Linked DNA regions of Drosophila melanogaster. The protein of the gene in region 1 interacts with the protein of each later gene in a pairwise test. Each region holds a gene or a part of one and is shown on either strand. Other genes may lie near its edges.

Region 1 (3,757 bases):
GAATGTAAAGGAAACACTGAATTGTTCTCGAAATAACAGCCATTATAATGAGTTTATAAAAATGTAAAGGTCATTTGTTTATATTTACAAATGCATCTCATTTTATTAATTTTGTTGTGGTTTTAGTTCCAGTTCTAGTTCCATTACAATAGTGAAAAACTTAAAAGTCATATTTTAATTGCATAAAAAATTATATTCTTGATAATTTCAATAAATTCATAAATATAAAAAAAGCCCCTGTGACTTGAACTGCTTGCTATAAATATGCTTAAGTTTATGGCAAATTTTCAATGTTAGTTAGAGACAATGAATGTGGGATGCTGTTCCTTCGAACAGCGCAGAATATCCTGGGAATTCCCGTGAAATCTAGCTGCCTTCAACCACCCGCTCCCCTCCCCCTCATCCAACCACTACACCTACTTGTGATCGAAAAGGCGGAGGCAAAAAAAAAAAAAAGAAGGTAAAAAGGTAAAAATGTGAAAAGTAAAAGTAAGTAAGGCCATGAATCGCAACCCCCTGCCAAAAAAAAAAAAAATAAATAAATAAAACAACGACAAGTAGGAAAAAAGTTGGCCGCTGGCTGCGCGTCTGGCGGATATAAAAATAAAATAAAATCTATTAGGTGGCGAACCACCCCACATTTATGCGGCAATTTGTTGCTCCTTGATTGTGTCTGTGTGCGACGGGGTGTCCTTTCCGTATGTGCGTGTGTGTGTATGTGTAAAAATAAGTAAAGTAAAGTGTATCATTTTCCCATTTGGCGACCCCTTTTCGCATTTCGCCCCTGTACACAGGCACTTCTCGCACTTTGTCTCAATTCCCAAAACTGTCGCCCCGGCCGTTGCAATTTATGAAGATTTGTGTGTGGCCAGGATGCCAGCGCAGGGTGGGATGCCCAGGATGCAGGACTCTGAATATCACTGGCTCAGAAGCTCAGGGCTCAGCACTCAAGAGTCTTGGCCCACTCCCACTCCCACACGGTTTCGTTTCGACTGCACTTGTTTTGATTTGTTTGGAATAATAACAGATGCTTGCCGTTCATATTATTCATTGTGGAAATTATTAGCGCTTGACAATAAAAATGGCTATTTGAACAGCACTCGAAAGTGAGTGCGCCCCCTTACTCCCCCTCTCACCGACAATCCCCCGCCGCACAACACAAATTGCAATTTGTGCAAATATTTATGTACATTGAAAATTACTCATTTGTGTAACACCAATTAATTTCAACAAACAGCGGCGGGCGCACAACAATGGCCAAGCCATTTATAAAACTTGGCCGCTTGTTGTTGGTCCCTGTTGTCCTTGTTGTCCTTGCTGCCTTGCTGGTCAAACAAATGGGGGAAAATGAGGTCCTTTGTTTCCCCAAAATAAACGATGCCGCTGCTGTTTGAATGTTTGAATGTTTGCTTTGCGGTGCGCCAGCACACGATACACACTGTACAGTGGAGCCCTTCGCCAACAGCCGACAAAGCAGTTCAATCAGCTCGAACAGCTCGCTATTTATGTAATATACTTATGTGTACATATATATATGGTATATATATGGTATGTATGTGAAAAATGCGGGGTTATTGCCTCATTATTGGGACACTGGAAAATACCCTGTTTACACTGCCATTTTTCAAGTTGCGCCAACAAATTGCAGCTAATTAGTGGCCACACTAGCCGGGAAATCCGACGAAATAAGCTCATATACAATATACCAAAACCGGGGTGCACAGCAAATGGCACTCGGCAACTTCAAGTTTTCCACTCAATCAGAGATAATATGAACAAATGGGCGAGGGTCAGACGAGGGTCGGCACACTTTTCCAGGGGTGACCAACTTAAATAATACCTTTCTAGTACTGCAAACGCGGGATGTAAGACAGCTTATAAGGATGGTTAAGGTATCGTTTATTTTAGTTTAAAACCTAGAACATGCGAAGAAAATACAAATAAATGCGTTTATATAATATATATATTTTCTATTGTAAAAGTTTCTGAGAAATCACTATACCATCACATTTCCATGAAACACGAACTGGAACAATGCGATGTAGTCACTGACTTGTCTGTCGTCGATTTGTCATTCGTTTAGTCTTTGAAAAGTATAAAGGTCACCGTTCCGGAATCAAAATTTTTTTTAAAATTTTTAAGATACCGCAAAAGCGCGAATGTAGAGTATTAAAGTGCGTTTTAGTGAACAGCACATGTGTATCCGATCAGATCCTCAATTTTCATTAACTTCCGGAGAAGCGAAATCGAAAAAAAAAAAACACGATCTAAAGACGACTGCTAGTACAGCACGCAGAGGTCAAATGTCTAGATTCTAGAATTTAGATTACAACAGCTGGACTTTGCACACCACTAGAAGGAACTTAGAGAAGGTAGGGTAATCGATTTCAATCGATATAGCTAATCAAGCTGTCAAACCTTTTTCTTTTCACTTTTTCTAGAAGCGAGAATTTGTCCTACATTTTTATTAGGCATTTTGTGAAAGAATCAAAAGAAAAAAAAAGCTGAACGCTAAACAATTCACCGCCACATATCGAGAAGAAGCAATTCCATTCGGTTATGTTCTGGTATTGAGCACCTGGTATTGAGTAAATCGAAAAATTCACAAATCATCACAAAAAGTGCACGTCATCAGGACATACATTTTGCTGCACCCAAGAAGCTAAGTTTGTGACCCAAATAGACCAGCTCCGCCGAGGATCCAGTCCCATTCTCCAGACAGCCGCGATCTCAGGGTGAGTCCCTGACAAGCAGCCCCAACGGCGTCCCAGACGATTGTCCTATCCAGCCCGGACAACGCAGCCGCGGCCCCCAAGACCGAGGCCATGGCGGAGGTTCTCAATTTGGAGAGCATAATTTCCCGTCTGTTGGAGGTGCGTGGCGCACGGCCTGGCAAGAATGTCCAGCTGTCGGAGGGTGAGATACGGGGCCTGTGCCTCAAGTCGCGCGAAATACTGCTGGCACAGCCCATACTCTTAGAGCTGGAGGCGCCGCTCAAGATCTGCGGCGATATCCATGGCCAGTACTATGATCTGTTGCGTCTGTTCGAGTACGGCGGCTATCCGCCGGAGGCTAACTATCTTTTCTTGGGCGATTACGTGGACAGGGGCAAGCAGTCGCTGGAGACCATCTGCCTGCTGTTGGCGTACAAGATCAAGTATTCGGAGAACTTCTTTTTGTTGCGCGGCAATCACGAGTGCGCCAGCATTAATAGAATCTATGGATTCTACGACGAGTGCAAGCGCAGATATACCATCAAGTTGTGGAAGACATTCACGGACTGCTTCAACTGTCTGCCAGTTGTGGCCATTGTGGATGAGAAGATCTTTTGCTGCCACGGCGGACTGAGTCCGGATCTTACCTCGATGGAGCAGATCCGTCGTATTATGCGTCCCACCGATGTTCCCGATCAGGGACTACTCTGTGACCTGCTGTGGTCCGATCCGGACAAGGACACCATTGGGTGGGGCGAGAACGACCGTGGCGTTAGTTTCACCTTTGGCGCCGAAGTTGTGGTCAAGTTCCTCCAAAAGCACGATCTGGATCTGATCTGTCGTGCCCATCAAGTCGTCGAGGATGGTTACGAGTTCTTTGCCAAGCGCCAATTGGTCACTTTGTTTTCCGCCCCCAACTATTGCGGTGAATTCGACAATGCTGGTGCCATGATGTCCGTGGACAATACACTCATGTGCTCCTTCCAAATCCTGAAGCCTGTCGAGAAGCGCAAGAAGTAGAGGACAGCGAGATCTGTAGACGC
Region 2 (3,757 bases), on another chromosome or scaffold:
TTTGGCTTCATTTTCCCCGTTGGTTTCTTCTGCGGTTGCTGTTGTTGTGATTTCAGCTAATGGCTTCCAGTTTTGTTTATTGATTTAAAGATTAGAACTGGCGGCGGCACACATATATAAATATATATATTGAGCTATATATATTTCTTGCAGCTTTTTAAACTGGTTTCACACTAGAAGAACGCTGTTTAAATACACACATGAAACTATGATTATTATGATTATTTATTTTCCAGACACACACTATTCCCGATGTGTTATCAATCGAATTGCAAAACAAAAGAGATAGCGTTGGTTGGAGAGACAGGGTATTAATTAAGCATTACACACTGTAAAATTAACAACAATTTATCGTATGCGCGCGCGGCTAAAATCAAAGAAAGGAAGTAGAAGAGCGGGGGTAATAAACAAAACGTTTACGCAGAGAGAAAAACACAAAAATAAAGAGGAGACAACAGCGCAACTACTGTGTGTATTGGTGTGTGTGTGGGTGTTTTAATCGAATTCGATTTTTGTAATTTATAATTTTAAAAACATAAAATTTAACAAATTTTTCGTATAATACACTGTATTTTCCTTTTGTTTTTCTGTTTTTCCCTTTGAATCCAGAGATTTTTCAACGAAAAAAAACACGACCGCCCACCACTACAACTACACCATACGCATTCGTATTCGCTCTCCGTCTCCTCTCGCGCCCTCTCTTTCCCACTAACGCCGCTATGGCGGCTTCTTTATGTGTCTCTTTTCTCCTCTGCTTCGCCTGCCTCTTCTTTTCGTATCTTTCTGCCCGTTGTTTTGCTGCGTTTATTTTCGTTGCATTTATTTTTGCTATTTTGCGCACCTTTTCCTCTCCGTATTTACAAAATTGCACTCGCGATTCTTTTCGGGGATGTACAAATTTCTTTACACTCGAGTGCCGACCAAACAACAGACACGAAATCGCGCTAAAATCCGGACGTAACCGTGCCTTCTTCGCTCCGTAAAATTTTTTCGAATGACTTGGCCAATGTTACCAGATGCAGAAACGACTCAATTATCCAAGCTGTGCATTTCCTAAAAAATACCAATTCTTATGCTTAGCTGGGTGATGACTTAAATAGACACTCCGAAACGCGTACTCATTTAAAATTTATATATTTCTGTTACAATTTCGCGATTAAAAATGTTACTTTAACATCTTGAATTTTTTTGGTTTTATTCTTATGTTACTGTTTGTTTACATGATTTGCTTAAGATATTATTATAGAATTATTAAATGTTTGATAGGCAAATAATAATTCAATCAAATATAATTAACATTTTGAATTCATTTAAATCGGCAAGATTTCATATTTAAATGCTTATAGTATTTTTCTTGAGCTAAGCTGCGGTTACACTGATTTACACTGTTTCGGTTGCTCGTACGTTCACTGTTATTCTGTGATACTGTTAGTTCAGTTGTACAACCCAACATTTTTTTAAAAACACAGACTGGCGGCTAAAATTTCCCAGACCCAATGTTAATAGATTTGTTTGAATTCATACGCATTAATATTGAACAATTGAAGCATTCATATTCGTGTAGGACCCGACAGCTTTTACCTATTATTATTTTCAAATTTGAAAAGGTGTTACGGTTTATGTTAACATTGTAACAGTAACAGATTATAGAGAAAGATAGAACGAGATAGCATCATAAAATACTAAATGAGAAAGGTGCTAATTTGACTTAATTTTTTTTGTCTTTGCAACACTGTTTCCATGGCTATTTTTAGGCAGTTTCTTACAATGTTTTTCGTCACCGAGTTTTTGTTAATAAATTAGCGAGAAGAAAACAAAGTAAATAAGGTGATTGCAGGTGCTTAATATTGCTTATTAAAGGCGAATACGTCCTTGTTTTCCTCATTGCCTTGTTATGACTATATTCGAGGTGTGAAAAAGGTATGAATCACAAGACCGTTTTTTCTCCACATCTTTTTGTGTTGTTTTTTCTCTTTTGCGTTTTTGTGAAAATGCAAGCAGATAAACCTGGTTGGTTCAATTTTATTTAAGGTTTCTGCGGATTTGGTGGCCATGGACTTGGTGGACATTGATCAGGTTTTGGACAATCTGGAACTGAGCATTGCCGCCGATGAGCAGCTGAGTAGAAATGCAGCGGCAGCAGCAGCTGCAGGTGCAAATCCTGGCCGTTTTCTGGGCGACGGAGCAAGTGCATCGATCAGTGGAGTTGGAGCTGGCGCCGGAGTATCGGGAGCTGCGGGAGTAACACCAACACCGGCGTCTGGAAAGTCCTTTGTGGGCGTCTCTCAGGTTTTCAACAGCCTGGATGACTACAGGGAAAATGTGAAGTCCTTGCAGGTGGATGCCCAATTACCCAGCTACGACTGGCAAACGGAGGCGGAACACGAAGACGACATCCACAAGTTCAGCGAACAGGCGTCCAAAAATAACGGCCAGACGATAGTATCGTCCTCCGAATCGCTGACCACCTCATCCTGTTCCACCTTCTCGTCGGGTCCGTCGCCCGTGAGCAATGGCAGTCACTCGGAGGAGCTAGCAACGCCCCCCGAAGATGAGAAAACGAGTGAAGTTCAGGTGGAGCCAAAGGAACAGGATCAACAGCCGGAACAGGTCAAGCATGAGGACCAGCACCAAGATCAGGCTGTTCCACCGCCAACGCAATCCAAACAAACTGTAGAGGAGTTAGCAGTTGGATTGTCATCCATCTCCATCACTGCGTCCGGCACAGAATCGCAATCCCTATTGCCGGAGGAGGTCACCGCATCGTCTGTTCTCGGGCAGGTCCTCGAGGAGCTCTCGGAGGAATCGTCGCCCAGTAGAGAACCCGAAACCGAAATGACCAACGGCATAGATGTCCCATTGGCCAATTTAGTAAGTACTATTACCTTACTTTGTTTGTGTAAATGACTAATAAGTGTAGCGCATTAGTTTAAAAATATTATCAGCTTCATAAATCAATTAAGGTTATAAACTATCTTGACATATAGTATAGTTTATTAATAATGGTGTTACATTTTCAGCCAGCATCTGTTGCGGAAGTACCGGTCCCTAAAGAGATGGAGCAGCCAGTACAAACGGAAGAAGAGGATGTGGAGCTGCCACAGGAGCAGCATCCCAGGCGTAGTCAACCGTTGACCTTCTGCTCCACCATGGACGAGATCTCGGACACCGAACTGGACAGCATGCTGCAAGAGATGGATGCAGATGACAACCAGGCGGACGATCAGCAAATGCCCGACGATGAGAAATCCTGCTCCGCCTCGCCAGTGACCGAGGAGGAGTCGGTGCGGATTCTATCCGATGAGCAGGAGACAACCTCGAACGATCAGATGAACGTGGACAACTTTTCGCAGGCCTCCACTGTGGAGTTTGCTGATCTGAAGCAGCCGGAGTCCACACCAGTTACCGCGATGGGAGAAGATGTAGCCTCCAGTTTCAGCAGCACGGAATCGGATTCCCTTTCGGGCAGGAAACTAGATGGCGAAGTGGAGGTCGATCGAGAGCATGAAGATGCCAGCCTGGCAACGGATGCCCTGGAAACCCAAGAGCAGCGCCCCCAGCGACCACAAACCCTAAATTTGAATGGTTGCCAGGCAGAAAGTTCCACGCCATCTCAAGATGAAAATCCCGAAATTCAACAGGAAACTTTGCAGCCTACCGAAGTCAGGGAAGGAGCGGCAGGAGTAGGTGTTATACCCGGCGAGGATGACGAGGAAAGTCCTATCTACGAAGCAGTGGGCTACAGCGATCCGCATGC

What was found.
Region 2: the proteins of Pp1-13C (region 1) and Sara interact in a two-hybrid assay, tested with the Drosophila melanogaster proteins (2 studies listed by BioGRID).

The regions. Positions count from the first base shown.
Region 1 is NC_004354.4:15,359,406-15,363,162, reverse strand, and holds the start of Pp1-13C (protein phosphatase 1 at 13C), read left to right. Parts: upstream 1-2,101; 5' UTR 2,102-2,372; intron 2,373-2,441; 5' UTR 2,442-2,825; coding exon 2,826-3,734; 3' UTR 3,735-3,757.
Region 2 is NT_033778.4:21,480,173-21,483,929, forward strand, and holds the start of Sara (smad anchor for receptor activation), read left to right. Parts: upstream 1-1,754; 5' UTR 1,755-1,920; intron 1,921-2,031; 5' UTR 2,032-2,052; coding exon 2,053-2,871; intron 2,872-3,020; coding exon 3,021-3,757. Other genes in the region: Sdc (syndecan), read right to left, coding at 1-11.